3 linked regions of the Arabidopsis thaliana genome follow. The protein of the gene in region 1 interacts with the protein of each later gene in a biochemical or structural test. Each region holds a gene or a part of one and is shown on either strand. Other genes may lie near its edges. The genes, in order: NAP1;2, TERT and ESD4.

Region 1 (8,077 bases):
GTCTAAACCGGCTCATTGATGGGTTATGCAAACCGATAAATAAGATTGATTGGTTTTAATTATTTGACGGTTTGGTAATGTTGGTTTATAAAATTCGATCAATCTTAAGTAAACTAGATTGTCTCACAAATTCTCTCATTAACGAGGGAGGATAAATAGAATTGAATTCGAAATCTGACCAGAGAACGACATTAACTCGAAACAAATTCATAAGATCATTACAAAAGGAAAAATCAAGAGACACAAACCAAACCAAAGAACCCATTTTTTTTTTTTAAATAGCAAACCAATCACCCAAAACTGATATATAATAAACCGGACCATGACTCTGCAAATTAAAGAAACACAACCTCGGCTCAAAGACACTCTTCACTCTTCTTCTTCATCATAACTAAGCCAAGATTCTTCACTTCTTCACTGCTGCTTACATTCCGGTGGCCTCTCACCTGCTTGACCTTCCGCAAGTTGACTTCTTCCAGCCTTCTGTTCATTAAAAAAGGATACCTCAGGTTAGCCATTGCATTATCAACAAAAAAAAAAGATCGAGATTGATTGATTGTTAAACCTTGTGCCCAGCTGATGACTGCAACAAAACAAAAGATAAACCACCAAATCAGTTTCAGAGGTTTTAGTTTCCTATGTAGGAAGGTTTTAAGTAGAACAAAACCACATAATTTACCTTCTTTTTGCTCTTCTTTCCTTGATCTGCTTCTTCCTCCTCGTCATCATCCTCATCATCCTCCTCCTCGTCATCCTCATCATCTTCCTCGTCCTCTTCATCATCATCTTCATCAATCTCATCATCGTCGTCCTCAATATCAAGGTCATCTGCCTCAACAGCTTCACCAGTGAACCATGACACAGCATGCGAGATGATTTTCTCTTTGATTGTTGAACTACAGGATAAACAGTGGACAGACTCAGATCCTAGAACTGAACTAAGTGAAGAGAACTGAATATGAAATAGAAAGGTACACACCCGATATCATAATCATGCTCCATTTGTCCTTGGAGTTCATCAGCCTGTGAATATTAGATGATCAGATTAAAATCCAACACAATCTTAATTACTGACTCTAAAAACTAAACTGCTTATGGAGATGGAAATACCATGTCATCATCAAGATCCTCATCATCGTCAGGAACTTGAGGTGGACTGAAAAAGTTGAAGAAACTCTCACAGTCCTCAGTCTTAGTGATCGGCTTTGTGTTTTTGGATCCTTTCTTTGGCTTCTTTTTTAGAATCTTCTGTGTCAAACACTTTCCAGGATACCACTCAATCTCCGTCCTGAACAGCAGTAAACGACAGTCAATAAAGACTTATTGTCTTCAGAACATAAACAGTAAATACTTGATAGAGCAAAACATTACCCGAGGGCCTTCTCAAGGATAGGCTCATCTTCATCAATCATGTGATATGTCTTGGTCAAGACAGTGTTCTTGAAGTAAGGATTCTGATCAAAGAAAAACTCAAGCTTGAACCCTTTTGGTTCTTCAACCCTACTCCACTTGATATCTTTGAGATACTTGAGAGCCCCTTCATCTCGCTCAGTTATCTAAAACCGTGGAAAAAACCACATAATGATAAAGAGAATCGCCATTTTATAAACCAAAAAGAAGAATATTCTAATAACGAACCTCTTCCGCAGTAATTTCATTGTTCTTCAATGCAATAAGCCAGAAATCTGGTACTCCTTTCTCTGCAGAAAGACAGTTTCATATCATATAAAAATCATGAGTTCACCATCATCATCATAAGATACTAAAAATAAACATGTTTCAGTAAAAGAATCGATAAACACACCTTCAGCTGATTTATCTTCTCCTTGTTCGGATTTTACTTCTTCAGCTGCACCTTCAACTTCGACCACACCATTCACAATCTCATATCGCTGTGATGCAGAAGGCAGAAGACCATCAATATCAGTTACAATCACGAATGATGCAGAAAGAAGTGAAAACCATGAAGCACTAATCATTCACGTAAGTAGCAACAGAGAGAAGTCTTATTAAACCTTTATCAATTGAGGTGTCATCATGTGTTTCAAAGATATTCTAATAATAGGAAACTAAAGACCATAAGAATCTCGCAGAATCAAAGACCGTATTCAAACCTTGGTATATAAAGGCTGATATAACTTTTGATACTTAGCTTCAAGAGCTGCTCTCTCCTCAAAGAATTTTGCTTCCATCTCATCATATTGGTTCTGCAAAGGTTAAAATACAAAAGGAATCAGATAAATTTGCTCCACCAAAAACTCATTAGACCTGAACAGCCAGCTAATTCAAAACCAATACAAAATCCAAGATCATCTAAAAGCTGAAAATTTACTCACCTGAATCTCTCTTAGAAACTCGACACGCTTCCTGACTGGTGGAGTCAAGTTTTCAAGGACATCAGAGTGTTGTCCAGCCAAATTCTGCAACTTGTTCTGCAGCAAACACGTAAATCAAATCAGGAAAAGTCACAAACTTTCAAACAACCAAATTAAGATGCATAGACAATCCTCAAAACCAAAGTCAAATTCTCTAAGCCATAAGAATCAAATCAATTTCTCAAAACTAGTCAGGAAGAGAAAACAATCCCTAAAAGTTACAAAGATGAATAGCCCAATCTCCAGATAGTCATACGCAAATCATATCGTGAAGAAAAAACTCACCTTAAGAGCATTAACAAGCCCGGCACGATCCTCCTCGTTAAGAGCTATAAGCAAAACACAAAACAAGAGAAGCTTTTTTCAATAAATCAAGAGAACAAAAGAGAATCCAGGCCTCATTCTATAGGACAATAAGATTATAATATCTTACCGGTGGAGAGATCGGACATGTTCATGCTGTCCTTGTCGTTGCTCATCTTCGCAAGAAAAGAATCTGGCGGAGGAAGAGGAAGGATAAGAAACCTTAAAACCCTAGATTTTTGGGGACAAATACGAGACAGAGAATATATATATAAATAACTAAAAGGGCTTTGAGAAAATGACCAGACCGAAATAAGACACAACTAAAGCGAAAATAACAAATTTTTACATCAAAATTTGGCATGAATATTTGTTTTTAACATTTAAGAGCATTTCTGTTGATTTTTTTTAAAAAAAGGCTTTTAAGAGCATTTCTATTGGTTAGAAGAAATCTAGGTTGCATGGAAACTCGCCCCGAGGTCTATTTCCCATTTCCGAAACGTTACGAAAACAGAAACTCTCCGGAAACATGAAAAACGTAACGGAAACGCGTTTTTTAAAAATTTATGTTTGGAAACACGATGGAAACTTACGTTTTAAAGATAGAAACTCATGTTTCCCAAATAGACATACGACAAATTTTTTTCAACTTTGAAAATTTAATAACTAAAATTAAAATTATTAAAATTATTAATACATATAACTAATTTTGGAAGACTTTGAGTTTTAAGATATTTCTTTTGATAAACCAGATTTGAAAAGAGCTTTATATTATCTTTGATGAAACTAATGAAAATGAAAATGTTGGTCTAAATTAACTATTTGAACTTGAACCTTTTAATTTTTATCTTTTAGAATTTTAGTTTATTTATTTAATATTGATGTTTTGGACTTGTATTGTTTAAACCATTTTTTCTTTAATATAGTTTTATGTTAATGTTATATATATATATATATATATATGTATGTATGTGTATACGTTTCCAATCCCTAATTTTAAGAAAAAATCGTTTCCAATCCCTAATTTTAAGAAAAAATCGTTTCTCGTTTCCGAAACGTTTCGTATTCGCGTTTTCGTTTCCATTTCATTGCAACATAGGAAGAAACTCACGAGTCTTTTGATGATAGAAGTTTATTTATTTAACTAAAAATTTATTTATTACAAAAGTTTAACCTAATCATCAAAAAACAAATGTATATAAAAAAAAAGTATGTCATGAGTTTCTCAAGTGAAAAAAGAGTCTACTTTCTTTTAGCTCGAAGACAATTCTCATATTCTCATGAATGCTAGCTGATCACATGTTAATGCTTAATCTGGATTGATGCATTGTCATGAGTCACTCAAATTTCATATTAGCACACTATAGTAAGCAAATCTGATTGGAAAACATCTAGTGAGATGCTGCTTTGTTAGTTTAGGGAAAAATGCTTATTTGGTCCTAAAGATTTCGACTTAAGAATAGAGAAATGGTAAAAAAATGTAGAACATCATGCCAATCAAATGATACAAAAGTAACATAACCACCAAACGCATTTGCATGATCTATCTAATATTATATGTACCTATTTTGGTTTAAGGTCATTAATAAACTTGTTGATTAGTTTTTAATAATTTTGTAAAGTTTCTCAAACAATTTCTTTATTTTTATGATATTTTTCACAACTTTATTTTGTAAAAAAAAAGGGTATGATATTTTTCACAACTTTATTTTATAAAAAAAAGGGTAGAAAGTCATAAACCAATAACACAATAATTTAATTCATTATAATAATCATAGATTCTTTGTTTTAAATGAATTACACAAAAAATTTAATAACTTTATAAAAATATGAATCCAATAACTCTACATTTATGAAGATTTTATATTACTTTTTACAAATCTTAAACTAATAACACCAAACTTTAACAAAAAATTGAAAAATCTTTATTGAATAACAACAAATTCTTCATAACATTTTAAGTCACTGAAACTTCGAATACATCACAAACCAATAACACTCCCTAAATAAATTTATATATATTACTAGAAGTCTGGTTATTTGTTTAAATGTTAAAAGATATATGAATTTGTAAACTTAAGAGATTTATGGAATTTAGGAAAATATAAAAACAAAATCCTTATTCTTATTATAAAGTTTCTAAGAAATATACTGTATATTTTTTTCACCGAATAAAGATATTTAATAAATTGAGAAAAGGAATAGAAAAGACCAAAAGCAACAGGCTAAGCGAGACACACACACACGCGCAGTCTTCTTCATCTTGCTTGCTTCTGGTTGCTTAACCAAAACACCATGGAATCTCCCTAAATTTCCTCACCTACTCACTTCCAATTTCAACCTGCTCGATTCTTCCCCTCTTCTTCGCAAAAGCCCTAGTTTTGATCATCGCACTTCACTCTCCTCCGCATGAGAAATCGAGAAATCCGCTCGACGTAGTAGATAGATAAAACCACAAAGTTAGGGTTTTTTCAATTGGGTATGGAACCTCGTGTTGGGAACAAGTTTCGCCTTGGCCGCAAAATTGGGAGCGGCTCTTTCGGAGAGATTTACCTCGGTTCGTTCCTCCCCTCTCTATACATATAAAATCTCTTCAATAGTCGTTTGATGAGACTGTTTTGATTGCAGGAACTGATGTTCAGACTAACGAAGAAGTTGCTATTAAGCTTGTGAGTGTTTCATCTCTTCAAAGTCCCAACTTGGATCATCAAAACTTAGTTTTTTTTGTGTGTGTGCAGGAAAGTGTGAAGACTGCGCATCCGCAATTGTCATATGAGTCGAGGATATATAGAGTTCTTCAGGGTGGAAGTATGCAATGAAATGTTTATCTCTATTGTTATTGAATTCTCATTTGGTTATTCATTTCTTGTGTATGTTCGTTAATGTAGCTGGGATTCCAAATATGAAATGGTATGGTGTTGAGGGGGACTACAATGTCTTAGTCATGGATTTGCTTGGTCCAAGTCTTGAAGATTTGTTTAGTTATTGCAAGAGGCAGTTTAGCTTGAAGACTGTTCTTATGCTTGCTGATCAAATGGTAATTATGCTTTGGATTGGTGTCTTGTCATTCTTAATGTAACTCTCTCACTGTTGGGTTTATCTTGTGTCAGATAAATCGTCTCGAGTTCATTCATTCTAAGTCGTATCTTCATCGTGATATAAAGCCGGATAATTTTCTCATGGGCTTAGGGAGGCGGGCAAATCAGGTTTTCTTACTTTTGCAAATTCTCTCAGTTGGATTTGTTTTTGGGGTCTCGCTATTGTATGACTGATTTTGGTCTCTTTCTCTAGGTCTACATCATAGACTATGGTTTGGCTAAGAAATATAGAGACAGCTCAACTCATAGACATATCCCATACAGGTAACAAGATTTTGGATGTCACAGATTCAGCATTTTCAGCATATTGTATGTCAGCTTCAGATTTCCTGACAACGGGTTCTTTATTGTTTGGATTTTACGTGTAAATGATTCAGGGAGAATAAAAGTCTAATTGGGACTCCGAGGTATGCCAGCTTGAACACTCACCTAGGGATTGGTATACTCCATCACTTTCTATAAACCCTCATGATAATCGCGGATCTTTTTCTCCTCTTTCACTGATTACTTTTTGACATTTTTCACTTGGTAGAGCAAAGTCGGAGAGATGATATAGAATCGCTTGGTTACATCCTCATGTATTTCCTCAAGGGAAGGTGAGAGTCATTAAGTAACTTTTCTTTCTGTTCTGATTCTTGTCTCCCAATCCATCTCTAATATCTTATTCTCTTGTAGTCTCCCTTGGCAAGGGCTGAAAGCTGGAAACAAGAAACAGAAGTATGATAAGATCAGCGAAAAGAAGGTTTCAACTTCCATCGAAGTAAGTTCTTCTTATATGGTTTACATTTAGAAACTTATACGAATCCATGTTTCAAAGGATTATGATCAGGTAGAGACGGTTGATCATAGATAGTACTGTAACTTTGCAGACGTTATGCAGAGGTCATCCAACAGAGTTTGCATCTTACTTCCATTACTGCCGCTCACTTAGGTTTGATGATAAGCCAGACTATGCATATTTGAAGAGACTATTCCGCAACCTTTTTATCCGGGAAGGTCATTCATTTTCTCTATCTCTCTTCTTCCTCTCAGGCTATTAAGTTCATACAGAAGCATCTGTTGACTCAAAATGAGTATTTTGTTTGTCCCAGGTTTTCAGTTTGATTTTGTGTTTGACTGGACAGTATACAAGTATCAGCAATCACAATCTGGAAACCCTCAACCTCGTCCCCATGTACACTCTTGATACTTTAAAGTTTCTATCCCGTTCATGATACATATACATACACAGATGAATAATGCAAGATCTTTCTATGTTTCTTTTTTCAGGATGGTGGTGTTGGAACTAGTTCTGGATTAAACCCTGCGGTTGGCAATTCTGAGAAGCGTCCAGGTATATTTTTGAATGCTTATTATCCTTCTTTATGAAAATGCAGCCGCATAGTTGTCCATTGATTTATATACTAAGGGCGTGTTTGTCTGCCATAGATGTCCCAAATCAGAGGACAAATCCGGATTTTACCCTGAAGCAGAAAGACAAGAATGGAAATGATTCTGCAATTGCAAAGGACAAGCTGGTAAGTTTCTTGTCATGCTGTTTTTTTTTCTTCTCGGGTACCTTCTTTTGAGTCGGGATGTTCATTGTGATCCATTGATTTCTCAGCTACCTGGATCTTTGAACTTGGGCCGATCAGAGGGATCATCGTCAAGACGAGTTGTGGACACGAGCAGTCGTGAACCATTTAGTGGCGGGAGTGACAATGCAAACTATGAAACCGCACTCAAAGGCATTGATGGTTTACGGATCAATAACAATGCAGGCGATGAGACAGCAGCAACGCCACAATCAAATGGAGACGATGTAGAACCCCAAAGCAAAGCTCTCTGACTGATTCATACAAAGCAGCTATAAAACAAAACCTGTACTCACTCAGTGACGTTGTCTATGATTCTTCTGAAGAAAGGCTATTTTCACAGCTAGAGAACTGATGATATATAAGAGAGAGATAATATAGATTTATTATACCAAACGAAAGTGCTTAAACTATGATTCTTCAAATATTCATTTGTCTCCTCCATTTGTATAGAGAAACTCTTCGAATTTTAAGATCCTTCCTCTCTGATAATATTTGCGGAATGATATAAAATCCAGTGGGGGATAAGAGTAAGTTAATATCTTGTTTTATGTTTCATATCTTGAAAATTTATATGAACTTTTATTTGTCTAATTGGTCAAATTTGTTTGACAAAAATTACTTACTCAATTTGTACTTTCTAGAAACATGAAGACGAACACTATGTCGGTAGGGAGAGACTTTTACGTATTCAAAACCTATAATTACAACGTAATCTCTTACTATA
Region 2 (8,077 bases), on another chromosome or scaffold:
TGGGCATGTAGCATTTCCCTCTACCAATGGTGATATCATCTTTTTTTGCTGGATTTGTATTAGAAGTATCAAAAGCTCGAGCCTTTTTTGGCACATTGAGAAAATGGCTTGTTCTAATGCCAGTTCATGGGAGTGTTGGCTATATGAACATTTCAAATGTAACAACAGATCTTGTTTATTGAAGATAAACCCATGGTATGGAGTGTGATTATCTACCAAAAATAAAGAAGAAAGCTATTCATCTACAAAATTTGCTTAAATTATATAATCTACATGAGGTGTTTAACACAGTGCTTATTATCCCTTTCTTTGTCCCTTTAGATCGTTCCTGAAATCTGCTGTAGCCATGTCAAAACCCTCAGGTTGCTTCCGTGTTTGGTAGAGTGCATAGAGAGAGCATCATCACCAGTAACCTTTGCATGAACACGATCCATTTTTGAAATGATGGAAGCGACTTGAGTCCCTCAATATAATATCATGATCAATGATTCTGGACATGTATGTGAATGCTGTATGGCAATCACCACATACCCGTAAATTCTTAGTAATCCTGATAGCAGCACCTTGCGGAGTTGTTAGAATACCATATGCAAGAGCTAACTTCTCACTATGCTCGAAAAGAAGATCATCTTTCTCTTCATCGTCTACATCATGAAGAGCAAAGCCTGTTTCAGGAACATAACCAATGTCCTTGATGCGTTGCATGTGATCTAAGAGGACCTGGTATATTTCCTTAGCGTGTGGATGAGTTTTATCACCCACGAAGAACGTAGTAGTTCCTTTAATTCCTTCAACCCAACTACAACCAGGTCTTTTCTTAACTCCTTTATGTCTCATCAATGATCTGATCCTAGTCACATCTTTCCAACGCCCTGCATTTGCATACAAATTTGAGAGTAATGTATATGATCCATCATGATTAGATGCTAATTCTGTTATTTTTTCCGCAGCGTACTCCCCGAGTTCAACTTTTCCGTGGATTCTGCAGCAACTGAGAAAAGCAACCCATACCACAGGAGGAGGCTCCATTGGCATTTCTTCAATGAGACGCAAAGCTGCATTCAACCGGCCAGCACGACCTAACAAGTCAACCAAACATGCATAATGCTCCGGACCAGGACTAACCCCAAAAACAGTTTTCATTCTATTGAAATACTCCATGCCCTGATCAATCATTCCTGAATGACTACAAGCATATAATACAACAAGTAATGTAACACCATCAAGCTTAAAACCTATTCTCCTCATTTCATCAAAGATTCCAAGAGCTTCTTCTCCATAACCATGCATACCATAACCCGTCATTAGAGATGTCCAAGTAACTTCATTTTTCGCCATCATATTGTCAAATACAAGGCGGGCATCACTGATGCTTCCACATTTTGCATACATGTCTATTAGACAGTTTGATACGAACAGCGGTACTGCATTCTGCTGGTTGCGCAACGCATAAGCATGAATCTGCTTGCCAATTCTTAGTGCAGCCAAACTGGCACATGCCACGAGGGCACATGATATGGTAAAAGCATTTGGTCTTGTTTGGCAATCTTCCTCAAACATCTCAGATAAAAGTTCGAGAGCTTTATTTGCATCCCCGTGCTGGGAGTATCCACCTATCATCACAGTCCAAGTCACAACATCCCTTTCCTTGGGGGAAAGTGAATCAAACATAGCACGTGCAGTATCAACCTTTTTGCACTTAGCGTACATGTCAATCAGTTGATTGATTACCATATTCTCATCACCATGACCGTTCTTACGCAAGTCTATGGGATATTTGATGGCATAACAATGAATCTCTTTACCATGCATCAATGCTCCAACAGAAGCACAACCCGAAAGAACCGAAATAAGCGTGACTTCATTTGGTTTTATCCCAGAAGACAACATCTGCCTACACACACCCAAAGCTTCATATCCAAGTCCCCGTTGAGCATACCCTGAAATAGCAGCACTCCAAGTAACAACATCCATTTTTATTTTCTCTTCCTGCATCTTCTCAAATAACCTAACAGCATCTTCAAACCTTCCAATCTGTGAATACCCAGCAACCATAGCATTCCAAGATACTACGTCCTTCACTGACATGTTCGAAAACACCGTGTTTGCCTCATCCATCATCCCACACTTTGCATACATATCCACCAAGCAATTCCCTACAAACATATTCTGTATCATCTCACTTGTGACTGCAAAACAATGCAATTGCTTCCCTAGTGAATGAGTTCCTAGGGAAGCACAAGGAGGAAGAACATTCACAAGGGTAATATTATCAGGTCTACATCCGAATTCATTGGTCATCCTGCTAAACATTTCAAGCGCCACCTTAGGTTTGCCTAACTTTGCATAACTTTCTATTATAGAGTTCCACGATACAACATCCCAAACAGACATTTCGTCGAACACCTTCCGTGCATCACTCAATGAACGACAACGGGAATACATAGCAACAAGCGCATTCCCAACAAAGACATTGGAGATAAATCCAGTTACCAGAGAAAGCGCGTGAGCAGATTCTCCACAACGAACGGAGGATATCTCGCCGCAAGCCTTGAAGACGAAGGGGAATGTGTAATTATCCGGCGTCCATGACAGAGAATGCATAAGGCCGAACAAATAGAGACATTTATTGGCGCAGCCATTGTCGCCGTAGCTGCGAATGAGTGAATTCCAATGGTAGACACCAGCGTCAGATGGAGGAAAACGACGGAGGAGAGATACGGCATGAGATAAGCAACCGACGGAGATATAGGTGGAAATGAGGTGGGAAGTGAGATTCAAGGTTAGGATTCCGAAAGAGAGGAGTTTCTGGTGAATAAGCTTGACCTGAGAGATGGTTTTGCATTTGTGAATAAACGGCGGTGTTATCTCCGGCGCCGATGTCGAGAAGAGAGAGACTTTAATGTACTGGTGAGATTTTGCGGCGGCGTTGGGGATGAGAAGGCGGCGGATCATACTACTGTAACTAGAGTGGCGGGTGATTTCTGCGTTTAAACTAAACAAATCAATTCGGTTATATCCCGGTTTTAGATTGGAAATTTGAAGAAAGTAATGAAACCGGATGTGAAAAGAAGAAGAAAGTATAATAGACCGATTAAAATTTAAAGCGAATTTCGGTTCGGTTTATGTGCTAAGCGACCTGCGTTTGCGGTTGAGTGGACGCTTTGGATAGCGTTTGTAGCTCAGCTTTGAATTGTTTTGAAATTTTCAAAATCGCAGTTTATAGTTTCGAGAACCCAGAAGACCTTTAATCTCCCGCCTCTTTCACACCATCAGACTCCATTATCGAAGCTCGTTCACTCTTCTCTCTCTCCAAATTCGAGAGAAAGGAGGAGGAAGGTGTAATGCCGCGTAAACCTAGACATCGTGTACCGGAGATTCTATGGAGGTTATTCGGAAACAGAGCCAGGAATTTAAACGACGCAATAGTAGATCTGATTCCTAACCGGAATATCCAGCCGGAGCAATGCCGATGCCGGGGTCAAGGTTGTCTCGGTTGCAGCAGCGATAAACCGGCGTTTCTGCTGCGTTCCGATGATCCCATTCACTACCGTAAACTTCTTCACCGTTGCTTCGTTGTACTTCACGAACAAACCCCTCCGCTTCTGGATTTCTCTCCAACATCTTGGTGGTCACAGAGAGAGGTAAGATTCTTCTTCCCACTGTACTATACATTGCTTTGAGTGCTTAATTTGAGATATTTCAAGACGTGGCTACTCCTTATAAAATGCCTCTATGTTATCTTATTTTGTATGATGTTGCTGATTTCTAAACATTTTGCTTCAATTGAGTTTATCAGATTGTTGAAAGGATTATTGAAATGATGCAATCTGGATGTGATTGCCAAAATGTGATATGTGCCAGATATGATAAGGTGAATTCTTCTTCTTCCTTCTCAAACTCAATGTAGAGTGCTGATTTTCTTAGCCTAATGATTTCTCGTCTCCTTTGACAGTATGATCAGTCGAGCCCTATTTTGGAGCTATTGACAAGTTCATCTTGGGAGTTTCTTCTCAAGCGGGTTTGTTCTCAAACCCTTTTGATGATTTACTTTCAATATTCGAGTTTGCGGTCACTAATATTCAAGTTCCCTTGTTTATAGGTCGGTCATGACGTCATGGTTTATCTTCTACAGCAAACATCAATATTCTTACCATTACTAGGGAAAAAACACCAGCAAGTGTCTGGACCTCCTCTATGTATCAAGCATAAGCGTGAGTCTCAGAATTAAACTTGTATCCGAGCTCTTCTGTTGGCTTTCTTTTGAAACTTCCACTTTCTTGTTGGTTCTCTGAATACTTATGATTTGTCTGTGACTGCTTGGTTATCGATTATCAACTTCTGGTTTTTAGTTCATATTAACTTAGTAAAGTTTTCCTTCTCCATGGTATAGGGACATTGTCAGTCCATGAAAACAAAAGAAAGAGGGATGACAACGTTCAGCCACCAACGAAAAGGCAGTGGCTTTCTTCAGCTGTCGATGACTGTCCTAAGGATGACTCTGCAACTATTACGCCCATAGTTGGCGAGGATGTAGACCAACATAGAGAGAAAAAAACTACTAAGCGTTCAAGAATATATCTTAAGCGTCGGCGAAAGCAGAGAAAGGTCAATTTCAAAAAAGTTGACTGTAATGCTCCTTGTATAACTCCCAGTACAAATGGTAAAGTCTCAACTGGTAATGACGAAATGAATCTGCACATTGGTATAAATGGAAGTCTCACTGATTTTGTAAAGCAGGTAATGTTCGTAACAATGATATTGATCAATCAAGTTTAAGTTGAAAATGCACAAGTTTAAACATAAAGTTATTGCTTAAAATTACTAAGAGACGTGTATAAATTGCTCTTGATTTATCCTCAGCCTTGAGAAATTGATGGGACTATTTTTGTAGTTGTACTTTGGTGTATTTTAAAAACTGTATCATTTATCTTGTTGTATTCTGGTGGTTATTAATATTCTTCCTGACACTTCATTACCTTCAAATTCGACAATCTGTTCTTGTATTTGTAAGATTTAATCACTGTTTTTTGTAGGCTAAACAGGTTAAAAGAAACAAGAATTTCAAGTTTGGCCTCTCAGAAACGTATTCAGTTATACCACCAAACCGTATCCTTCAGTGGTTTTGACATGTTCAATGACTTGTAGCAACGATAGCTTGATGGAAGTTTAAACGTTACTCTTCTCTATACAGTTCTTCTGCATTGTGAATGATTCCTTATGATATACAGACATTTTAAAAACCTTGAGGCCCAACTGCTCTGATTCAAAGCTCCTAATGAACCATATATTTGGTGAAGTAAATGTTTGGTCAACGACGCCATCTCATGGCAAAGGCAATTGCCCCAGTGGATCTATTTGCTTGTAAGTCATCCATTTATTCTTGTAAGTTCTTCGGCTTACTCTGAGACTTGGAGCATGTATTCAGATAATGTAGAGCACATATCTAAGTAGTCTGAGTTATAAAAGGAATTTGTTTAAAAGTTTTGTTGAGGTAACTGATGCAAAGAAGAAAATGATATCATGATGTCTTTTACATTGATTTGCAGATACCATTCATTGCTCAAGTCTCTTAAAAATCTAATAGGAAAAACAAAGTCTTCACATTTAAAAATGCTACTAGACAAACACTGTCCTGTTCTCTTGCTGCAAGAGGATGCATTGAAGTCCGGAACGACTTCTCAGGTTGATATTTTTCTTTTAGAGATGGTTTTCATATTTAATTTCCCTAGCGTTTTTCGTTTGATGTCTTTTGAGTATTTCTATTTCAGAGAAGTTATGTTGAATATTCGAATATGTACAACAAAAAGAAACTAGAAATGGAAAATCAACACAGTTGCTACTTTATAGACTTTGGATATATAGTGCAAACCTGCATAAGAATTCATATCCGTGGCACTTCCAAGTGCTTCCTTGAAGTGACGAACCTTGCATATCTTGTATTACAGAGTTCAAGGAGGCAAAAAGCAGATAAGCTGCCTCATGGATCAAGTTCATCACAAACGGGAAAACCCAAATGTCCCAGTGTTGAAGAAAGGAAGCTGTATTGCACGAACGACCAAGTAGTTTCCTTTATTTGGGCCATCTGTAGGTACATTGTTCCAGAAAGTTTGCTTGGGACCACTCATCAGATGAGGGTGCTTAGGAAAAATATAGCGTGGTTTGTTTCAAGGCGACGAAATGAGAAATGCACAGTGAATCAGTTTTTGCATAAAGTGAAACCATCAGATTTCCCATTCTTTGCTAGAAAAGAGTTATGCTGTATGGTCAACGGACATGAACTCCAAAGTGAATCCATCAGAAGTACACAGCAGATGTTGTGCACGAAATGGATTTCTTGGCTTTTTTTAGAGATTGTCAAGAAATTGGTGCACTTCAACTTCTATGCCACTGAAAGCCAAGGAGGACGGCTAAATATTTATTATTACCGGAAAAGGAGCTGGGAAAGATTAATAAGCAAAGAAATTAGCAAAGCCCTTGATGGATATGTCCTAGTAGACGATGCTGAAGCTGAAAGTAGCAGGAAGAAGCTATCAAAGTTTAGATTTTTACCAAAGGCCAATGGTGTGAGGATGGTGTTAGACTTTAGTTCTTCGTCAAGGTCGCAATCTCTTCGTGATACACATGCTGTTTTGAAGGACATCCAGCTCAAAGAACCAGATGTTCTTGGGTCTTCTGTCTTTGACCATGATGATTTCTACAGAAACCTATGCCCATATCTGATCCATTTAAGAAGTCAATCTGGAGAACTTCCTCCTTTGTACTTTGTGGTTGCGGATGTATTCAAAGCATTTGATTCAGTCGACCAGGGTAAGCTGCTTCATGTCATTCAAAGTTTTCTGAAAGATGAATACATCTTAAACAGATGTAGGCTGGTCTGCTGTGGGAAGAGATCCAATTGGGTAAACAAAATACTAGTCTCGAGTGACAAAAATTCTAACTTTTCAAGATTCACATCAACTGTTCCATATAATGCACTGCAAAGTATCGTGGTTGATAAGGTATGCTTCTTTTTGACCTAGAGCTTTTTGATCTTTTTGCAGAGGGTAAAATACAAAACTATTGGACTACTTAAAAAAATCTCTAGAGATCTCTTTTCTTAGTGCTTGTAGCGTCCCTGTTGTTCTTTACTTATTTGCTTAACGGTGTTATGGTTTTGGTCCAACCTTCTAGGGAGAAAACCATCGAGTGAGGAAAAAGGATCTAATGGTTTGGATAGGAAATATGCTAAAGAACAACATGCTGCAGTTGGATAAAAGCTTCTATGTACAAATAGCTGGAATACCTCAGGGACACAGATTATCATCCTTGTTATGTTGTTTTTACTACGGGCATCTCGAGAGGACTTTGATCTACCCATTCCTCGAAGAAGCCTCTAAAGATGTGTCTTCTAAAGAATGCAGTAGAGAGGAAGAGCTTATAATTCCCACGAGCTATAAGTTACTGAGATTTATTGATGACTACCTTTTTGTGTCTACCTCAAGAGATCAGGCGAGTAGCTTCTATCACAGGTTGAAGCATGGATTTAAAGATTACAACTGCTTCATGAACGAAACAAAATTCTGCATAAATTTTGAAGATAAAGAAGAACATAGGTGTTCTTCTAATAGAATGTTTGTGGGAGATAATGGAGTTCCTTTTGTCAGATGGACGGGTTTGCTTATTAATTCCCGCACATTTGAAGTTCAAGTTGACTACACAAGGTCTGCCTCATCTCCTGTATGTTTCCTTCATAAGTATACTTGTTTGGCTCTGTTTCCTCAGCTTTTATTTATAATTTTGCCTCAAATTCATGGAAACAGGTACTTGAGTGGCCATATAAGCTCAACTTTTTCTGTAGCTTGGCAGAACAAACCAGTTAGAAATCTTCGGCAAAAATTGTGTTACTTCTTGGTTCCGAAATGTCATCCAATTCTATTTGACTCGAACATCAACTCGGGAGAAATCGTCAGGTTAAACATCTATCAGATCTTTCTGTTGGCTGCAATGAAGTTTCACTGTTATGTCTACGAGGTGTCCCGGTTTTGGAAGCTTCATCCTCAAACTTTGTTCAAATTCATCACAATATCTGTCAGGT
Region 3 (8,077 bases), on another chromosome or scaffold:
CTCTTCGAAAGTATTCCAAGCGAACTTGAAGACGGTTTTCATATAATCTGGTAAACTGTCCATGCAATCTGGATCCCATCTGTACATGCATACTGAGATATTTGTACGGGATATATATTCACCAAAAAAATTTACCCTATGATCTATTATATATGAAACCATATTTCTAGAAAAATTTGATTTCTTAATGTTTTGTGTTCATATATTTTATGATTTTACATAGATATTAAAGAAATAGACAGAATAAATATATTTAGTCACGTAAAGTATTGGAATAATTAATGTATTTGATTTCACTTAGGATCTCTAATCTATTTCACTAGGATTTTCTTTCATGGTTGGGTTGGCACTGGCCTTTGAGATAAGATACGCATTCGTGTTTGGATGATGTTACCTTTCCACGCATTGAACAAGAGCTGCAACTTCAGAAACATTACCGTATCTATCACACGTGTCATCAACAAGGGTGAAGACTGTGTTGATCTTAGCTAGTGAAACTCTCCCAAGTGAAAATTGTGGCTCGAAATATATCATTATTGCAAATAAATAGCATTCGATCAATCTATCCCTGAAGTAAGGTGGGAGTTTAGATGCAAGGTCTTGCTGCTTCCACCATCTGCAAAACATGTCAATGACTATTGTCAACTTGTATCGCAAAAAACATATAGCTAGAAGCACGAAAAATCTAGAGTATAGTACTTGGTCAGAGTTTTCAATTCTTGAATCCAATTTAGCTGCAAAAACTTGAAATTGATCTTGGCAAATCTAAGTAGCATCTTGTTGTGATCTTCTTCTTGTTCATAGAAAGAAATGTATTCCCTCGCGAATATCATTTCGGCATTGTAATGTTGAGGCATGCAAAGAGCATTTCGTATACGCATTAAGATATGGGGAGAACTTGCTCCAGCTCTAGCTAACGACTCCAAGTTTCTTGTAGTGAAGCTTAACGCTTCCTCCAAGATATCTTCTCTTGTTGTCCTTAAGTGAGCAGCTTCATACAAACTCACCATGCCCTTGACATCACTGGTTATAGATTCCATAAACTTTTCATTCTCCCCTTTGAATCTCTTGAAAACATCTATTGGTCAATAGGAGAATCTTGTTAATACATATGAATCGATTACAAAAAAATGTACTGGTAGATAACTTTTACCGGTAGACATGTTGTAACCGTATGTCCTGAAAACCCAAAACATGATGGAAATCGTGTACAAATCATCTTCACCGGCTATCATCTCCTGTATCTTTTCAAAACCCTCTTCTAGACTCTGCTCAATCTCATCTTCAAAGTGAAACGCTACACCAAGGCTCACAAGCATATATATGAAAAGAATCCTCTTCTTGGTCGACTCAATGCTTTTCGAAGAAAACATGAGCATCTCCCCTACTTCCGGCTTTAGTCTCTCAATCTCTTGGGCAAGGGCATTCATTTCCTAACAATAATATCATATGTTCATACCCGTTACATCGATCTTTTACATTTATTATATATATGTTTGTCAGTGTGTATTATAGACTCACCGAGACATCAACTTGAGCAGAGAGGAAATGGTGACCCCATTTTGAAAGCGGCAGTCTCTTGAACTTGCGATTACTTTCTTGATCATGACAGGCCCGAGTAGGGGTGGCCTTCATGCGAACAAGCTTTCCATGCTGACCTGAAAATGACTTGTGGGGAAAGCTAGAGAGTTTTCTTACCGAAAATAAATTGGAACGTAAAGGAAGAGAGAGTATAGATCCATAAGCTGATATGCATTGCATGTTTACTACTAGTGATATGGAATACATTTTCACCACCAAATTTATAGGCAAAACATAAGCGTTTTCATTAAGTCATCTTTTGAAAAGTTTTGGAAGAATGTATATTAATATCCCCATATTTATCTTCTTCAGTGTATAATACAATCTATGTTGGGACCATGATATTTTCTGAATTTATAGTGATATTAGTTTATCTTTAAATTGATATTTATTAATCTATATAGATCTTTTTTTAATTATTTAATTTTTTAAAGAATACGAGTTGACACAATTCAATATACATCAAATTAATGACTTGGATGTTGAAATTTGTGTAGTATTAGAATTGAAAATTTAATATTTCAAAAAACTCATTTGACAATAAATCACAATGACTATAACTGAATTCATTTATATAATAGATATACATACATCTAAGTTTATGATTAATAACCTCAACTATCAGATTTTTAAATGTAGTAGACTATTGAAATGAAAATAATGCAGATTAAGAAGTTGTATACTTATAAAAACTTATGACTAATTGTATTAGGAAGTTATAAACGATACTACAATATGATAGTTTTAAAACACAACATAATTTAATGAAAATTAGAGACAAAATCATTGTTTGATGTAATAATAGTTCAAGACAAACTCTAACAAACATTCAATAGTTCAAAAAATATTTAAACTATAGATTATATATATTATCGTATATATATTATATTTTTGTGGTTATTAATTTATGATGTTATTAAAATCATATTTTTTATATAGGGTTTTAAAAAATTGTTAACTTATTATTTTATCAAATTATGTTAAATTTTACATTCACACGACTTGAAACTAATATAATATTATCTTCTTGTATTTATTAATTTATCAAAAATTAATTTGTAGAGGTTTTACTGTAAAACATGTTTAGTTTTTCATTTTTTAAAAAACCTCCAAGTGGCAAAAATAAGATCCATCTCCATCTAAAAAAGTGCAAACAAATCTCCATCATTTAAAAATCAACGTTAACATCCATATCTATTGTTGTTGTTTTTTACTTCTTTTTCTCTTGGTCAAACTCTACGTTAGTTTGATCAATAAATATGACAAGAATTTTTGCAGTCTCATAGGCGTCTTTGTAAAGGTTAGTTAGCGTCTACATAATTTTCCGAAAGATATAATTTTCTTGAGATACAGTTAACTCAATTACTGAAATGTAATAACTTTCTAAAAGTTGTGGCTATTAAACAAAATTGTGAAAAAATTTAAACCAAAAGCCACTTCAAAAACAAAGAAAACCATAACCATTAATCAAAATTCTTTTTTTTTTGTTAACAAGTACTAGTTGCATTAAATTGTAAACATATGGTGGTGTTGTATATGTTTGATACAAAGAACCTATATAACAAAGGCTTGTTGGGATAGTGCATCTGCCACATTATTTCTTTTCCGATTGACATGTCCATAGATGAGTGTGATAGCTTCAACATCCAATATCGTATACCACCAAAGACTGAAGAGTAGTACCAAGAATATTTATATATATATTTATTTATTTATTTATTTTGGTAAGGAGAATATTTATATCATGATCCCACCATACTTTAATTGTTATGAAAAAATTTTAATTTGATTTTCATAAATTTTATAGTTTAGTTAAGTATAAAACCACAATTTTTTTTCTTTCAAATATTATTTTTGGAGAAAACCCCCAAATTTAAAAGGAAAGAGAAAAAATCAAATCATTCATCTTTGAGCTTTCTTTTCTTCTACAGAACCCTAATTTCATGTTCTAGGTGTCTCTCGAATGGTTCTCATCTCATTGATTACTCAATCTCTAGGGTTTAGTGGTTCATCCAAATTCGTACCCTAATGGGTGCCGTAGCGATCAATCGTAAACGCAGCGACGAATCCTTCAATTTCATTAATCAACAATCAACCAACCCTTTACGAAATTCACCGTATTTCCAAGCTTCCAAGAAACGAAGATTCTCATTCGCTATGTCTGAAGATTCTGGTAAGCCAGCGTCTTCAAACCCAACAATTTCGAGGATTTCAAGGTACCCTGATGCTAAAGCTCCTCTTAGACGAGAGATTCATGCTCCTAGTAGAGGAATTCTTAGATATGGAAAGGCAAAATCTAATGATTACTGCGAAAAGGACGCAAATTTCTTTGTTCGTAAGTATGATGATGCAAAGAGATCAGCTTTGGAAGCTTTGAGATTCGTTAATAAAGGTAAAGACTTTGTTGATTTGGGTGATGAGGTTGAAAAGGAGGAAGTTGTTTCTGATGATTCAAGTGTTCAAGCAATTGAAGTTATTGATTGTGATGATGATGAGGAGAAGAAGAATCTTCAGCCTTCGTTTTCTTCTGGTGTTACTGATGTTAAGAAAGGGGAGAACTTTAGAGTTGAGGATACTAGTATGATGCTGGATTCGTTGTCGTTAGATAGAGATGTCGATAATGATGCTTCGAGCCTCGAAGCTTATAGAAAGCTTATGCAAAGTGCGGAGAAGAGGAATTCAAAGTTGGAAGCTTTGGGTTTTGAGATTGTGTTGAATGAGAAGAAGTTGTCACTGCTGCGTCAGTCTCGCCCAAAGACTGTGGAAAAGCGTGTTGAGGTGATGAGATTTATACTAATCTTTCTTGAATTGGATATAATTAATGACATTGCTTTGTTTGGATTGTTTCTCTAAAATGCATATGATGTTATCGCCTACTGTTTGTTAGTGTAGACTGAAGATAGTACAATACTTGTTGGCTTTATTGGTTATTAAGCTGCAGTTATTACTTATGCACACAGAGTCAAAGTTCTTCTACTTATTAGAGTATATTGTAATCTTAGCGTTGAGATCGTTAGTGTGTTTCTATGTTTATTGTTGTTGTTAACACTATGTTTGTTGTGTTGTTGATATAATGAAGGTGCCTCGTGAACCTTTTATTCCTCTCACAGAAGATGAAGAGGCTGAAGTCTACCGTGCCTTTTCTGGGAGAAATAGGTATGGTTTCTTAAGACGCTCTAGCATGTTGAGTGATTTTTTTTAGTCTAACCAAAAACCAAATGTCTCCCATTTTTCAGAAGGAAGGTCTTGGCTACTCATGAAAACTCAAACATTGATATTACTGGAGAAGTTCTGCAATGCCTTACACCATCTGCATGGCTAAACGACGAGGTACAACTTGTTCCATAATATTCTACACAATTAAGAGCTCTTAAATCACATTTTCTTTTGCTGATTTCTTGTTCTGTTTTATAGGTTATCAATGTCTACCTTGAACTACTCAAAGAAAGAGAAACTAGAGAGCCCAAAAAGTATTTGAAGTGTCACTACTTCAATACCTTTTTCTACAAAAAGGTTTGTTTTCTTTCTGCTCAGATGATTTTTAACAAAAATTTGATCCTTTTTGCCTCATGTCAGTTCGACTGAGTAGCTGCTACTTGCTTCCATAAAAATGATAAGCAGTATGTTTAAGTGATCTTTATGATAAGATTATTGATATATTTGGCCTTGTTTCTCCCCATGGTACTCAGTTGTCTCTGGCTTCTGTATCCCATGAATGGCAGTGAGTAACCAAGACAAGCTGTGGCCTTCTTATACGTTGATGAATCCTCTGGCACTTAAATCTGTCTTTCTTTAATTATTTTTTTCAGCTGGTAAGCGATTCTGGTTATAATTTTAAAGCTGTCAGGAGATGGACTACGCAGAGAAAGTTGGGATATGCTCTTATTGACTGTGACATGGTAATTTTGTCGAAGAACCTGAATTTGAAGATTCTCTTGTTAATATTACGCATGTAGTCCAATTTATTTATGTTTAACTTAGTCTGTGCCCTCTGCAGATATTTGTTCCCATCCACAGGGGTGTGCATTGGACCTTGGCAGTAATTAACAACAGGGAAAGCAAGCTCTTGTATCTTGATTCACTGAATGGAGTTGATCCTATGATTCTGAATGCTCTGGTATGATTTAATTTCTAACTCTTATTCGCTTTATTTAGTCTATTAATAACTGACATGTTGGATGCATTAAAAGATATTAGATGCTGATAAATCTTTATCATCATTTCTTGATTCTGAAATCTGTTTGGAGACATTATGGAGATGCCAGAAGCTGTTATTGCTTTTTAAATCGGACACTACTGTGAAAGTGTTCTAACCATATATACTAGTCGTTATAGCTAATGCCAGATCTGATATTCTGCTTCAGGCAAAATACATGGGTGATGAAGCAAATGAAAAAAGTGGAAAAAAGATTGATGCTAATTCGTGGGACATGGAATTTGTGGAAGACCTTCCCCAACAAAAGAATGGGTATGTAACTATGCTTGAACTTGCTATGATCCATGATCATGTGAAAGGAACTATCTTGTTAAAGAGATAACCTCTGTAGAATCAGATACTTGTCTTCTGATGTGGGAATATGGGTTTTTAAGACAAAGGATAGATCTGGTTTGAGATTGATTAGGAGAAATTCACCTGATATAAATTTTGATAATGGAATCAACAAGGGTATAACTTAACTGTTCTTATGCTCTTTAGCACTCTGGTTAAGCTCTCTGCTAACTCTATATTGTTTCTTTGTTGCAATCTTTTATATTCTCAGGTATGACTGTGGAATGTTTATGCTTAAGTACATCGATTTTTTCAGCAGAGGCCTGGGGCTATGTTTCAGCCAGGTAAGCTATCAGAATCCAAATCTCTGAATGCCTCAAGAAACTGTAGTTGAGAATAAAAACTGGTTGTCTTGAAACAATATGGAATTAGTATATCCCCCTAGCAGTTTATGTAACTTGTAGGATTTAGGCATTTAGCGTAATAACATTGTATTACTTTGCAGGAACACATGCCATACTTCCGACTCAGAACAGCTAAAGAGATTCTGAGGCTACGAGCTGATTGAAGTTGCTTGTGCTAATGTTTTTTCGGCTATTAGGAATACTATTTTTGGTTGCCATTGTTGATTTGTTCAAACTTTAAATCCCACTCCTTTTAGGCAGTGAAGCACTCGGCTTTAAAAGCAGAGGTAAAAACTGAGTCAAGCCCAGAGCTCTTAGCTCGTTCCGTTATTGTATTTTTTTCCTTCTTCTTGTTTTAAAATGTAGATGAAGCGTTTTGGATCTCTATGTTGGTTAGTCTAGCTGAAGATATATGAGATGTTGAAAACCTTATTTATTTCTCTCCGGTCTTGACCAGTGCGAACGCAATTTAAAGTTTCCATCTAGTATCGGTTCGATATATTTTCCTCTGTTCAATAGCCAAAATTCCATGAATAATCTCTTGAAAGCAAATGTTTTCGATATACAAATGTTCTGCACAATTTCCCCAATACATACACGAATATGTTACAAATATACAACAAACTGCTGTTTGTGAGTACAAATGTTGACAAGGACACAGAAAAAACAAAATCCCAAATGTAACATTGACATATTAAAACCCACTCCCAAAAACAAAAACAAATTCCCCAATTCATAAAACACGAGAGGAAGGAAGACTTGTGTGTATCTCCTAACAAAAACTGACTGGAAGGCAAACTAACTTCCACTGCCTTTCCTAGCGCGGAACTCTCTTCCGGCTAAGTATCTCCTGTTCTTTCAGACGGTGTTGGAACCGAGCAAGACGGGCTTGAAGACTTACAAGACCAGCTGCTTTACGGGACAACACAAAGCTCAGCTGTGTAACATAGTTGTCAATCATGCTCCCTGGCCGATCCACCTTCGCTAGTAATTTCATTTCCTACAAAAAAAAACATGAAATAATGTTAAAACAATCACAAGACATATGAGCCATAACCTCGTGAACTATTTCCATTGTATCCTCGATCTCTTTTCTGTGTGCTGTAATTAAGGTCTCTTCTTCCTGCCAGAGTTTAAACAAAATAATTACCATATTACAGGTTTTCTAAGGTTATTCGTGAGCGATATTCATAAAATTCCCTCACGCTCATAGCATAATTTAGAAGTATAGAAGGGTCAAATGGCTCTTTACCTCAAGCAATGCATCAATGTTTTCATCAAGAGAAGGCTCCGTTGTTTCATACTGCCTTGAAGATGTATCGCTTGTGTTCTGACTGCTAGCCATATTTTGTTGTCTAGAATTTGTCATGGCAGGGACATCAGTCTTGAGAATAAGATGAGTGAATCCTTTGACTAGTGGAGCCGCCAAAAGAAGATTTTAAAATGTTAAGCATAAATCATATTCCTTAAATGTTAAGTGAATCCTTTGACTAGTATAGTATAGTGTCTGGTTTTTCATTAGACTTTCTGAGATGAGAGGTATTTCTATTAAAACTTAAGTTGAAGGTTTTAAAATGAATCAGCCAAAACTGCAGGGTTTGTT

The links.
Region 2: the proteins of NAP1;2 (region 1) and TERT form a complex in vitro, tested with the Arabidopsis thaliana proteins (one study listed by BioGRID).
Region 3: of the proteins of NAP1;2 (region 1) and ESD4, one has a biochemical effect on the other in vitro, tested with the Arabidopsis thaliana proteins (one study listed by BioGRID).

What each region holds. Positions count from the first base shown.
Region 1 is NC_003071.7:8,433,378-8,441,454, reverse strand, and holds the start of NAP1;2 (nucleosome assembly protein 1;2), read right to left. Parts: upstream 3,000-8,077; 5' UTR 2,855-2,999; coding exon 2,809-2,854; intron 2,705-2,808; coding exon 2,661-2,704; intron 2,433-2,660; coding exon 2,337-2,432; intron 2,208-2,336; coding exon 2,115-2,207; intron 1,893-2,114; coding exon 1,805-1,892; intron 1,701-1,804; coding exon 1,639-1,700; intron 1,557-1,638; coding exon 1,372-1,556; intron 1,289-1,371; coding exon 1,111-1,288; intron 1,024-1,110; coding exon 980-1,023; intron 897-979; coding exon 680-896; intron 584-679; coding exon 566-583; intron 484-565; coding exon 415-483; 3' UTR 1-414. Other genes in the region: ckl5 (casein kinase I-like 5), read left to right, coding at 5,160-5,235, 5,307-5,347, 5,417-5,486, 5,567-5,715, 5,789-5,884, 5,970-6,040, 6,154-6,215, 6,309-6,372 and 6 more. UniProt on the Arabidopsis thaliana protein: May modulate chromatin structure by regulation of nucleosome assembly/disassembly. May function in nucleotide excision repair (NER). Involved in somatic homologous recombination.
Region 2 is NC_003076.8:5,538,712-5,546,788, reverse strand, and holds the start of TERT (telomerase reverse transcriptase), read left to right. Parts: upstream 1-3,229; 5' UTR 3,230-3,344; coding exon 3,345-3,644; intron 3,645-3,799; coding exon 3,800-3,874; intron 3,875-3,955; coding exon 3,956-4,021; intron 4,022-4,102; coding exon 4,103-4,214; intron 4,215-4,393; coding exon 4,394-4,740; intron 4,741-5,036; coding exon 5,037-5,109; intron 5,110-5,231; coding exon 5,232-5,364; intron 5,365-5,549; coding exon 5,550-5,685; intron 5,686-5,948; coding exon 5,949-7,001; intron 7,002-7,173; coding exon 7,174-7,703; coding exon of another isoform or gene 7,704-7,719; intron 7,720-7,802; coding exon 7,803-8,075; intron 8,076-8,077. Other genes in the region: AT5G16860 (Tetratricopeptide repeat (TPR)-like superfamily protein), read right to left, coding at 403-2,955. UniProt on the Arabidopsis thaliana protein: Telomerase is a ribonucleoprotein enzyme essential for the replication of chromosome termini in most eukaryotes. It elongates telomeres.
Region 3 is NC_003075.7:9,009,160-9,017,236, forward strand, and holds ESD4 (Cysteine proteinases superfamily protein), read left to right. Parts: upstream 1-3,410; 5' UTR 3,411-3,609; coding exon 3,610-4,359; intron 4,360-4,660; coding exon 4,661-4,737; intron 4,738-4,817; coding exon 4,818-4,911; intron 4,912-4,995; coding exon 4,996-5,094; intron 5,095-5,390; coding exon 5,391-5,480; intron 5,481-5,578; coding exon 5,579-5,698; intron 5,699-5,926; coding exon of another isoform or gene 5,927-5,932; exon of another isoform or gene 5,933-5,945; coding exon 5,946-6,049; intron 6,050-6,341; coding exon 6,342-6,414; intron 6,415-6,575; coding exon 6,576-6,638; 3' UTR 6,639-7,020; downstream 7,021-8,077. Other genes in the region: TS1 (terpene synthase 1), read right to left, coding at 1-79, 395-616, 700-1,078, 1,154-1,433, 1,522-1,788; AT4G15885 (kinesin motor protein-like protein), read right to left, coding at 7,292-7,474, 7,532-7,597, 7,727-7,819. UniProt on the Arabidopsis thaliana protein: Protease that catalyzes two essential functions in the SUMO pathway: processing of full-length SUMOs to their mature forms and deconjugation of SUMO from targeted proteins. Cleaves precursors of SUM1 and SUM2, but not of SUM3 or SUM5.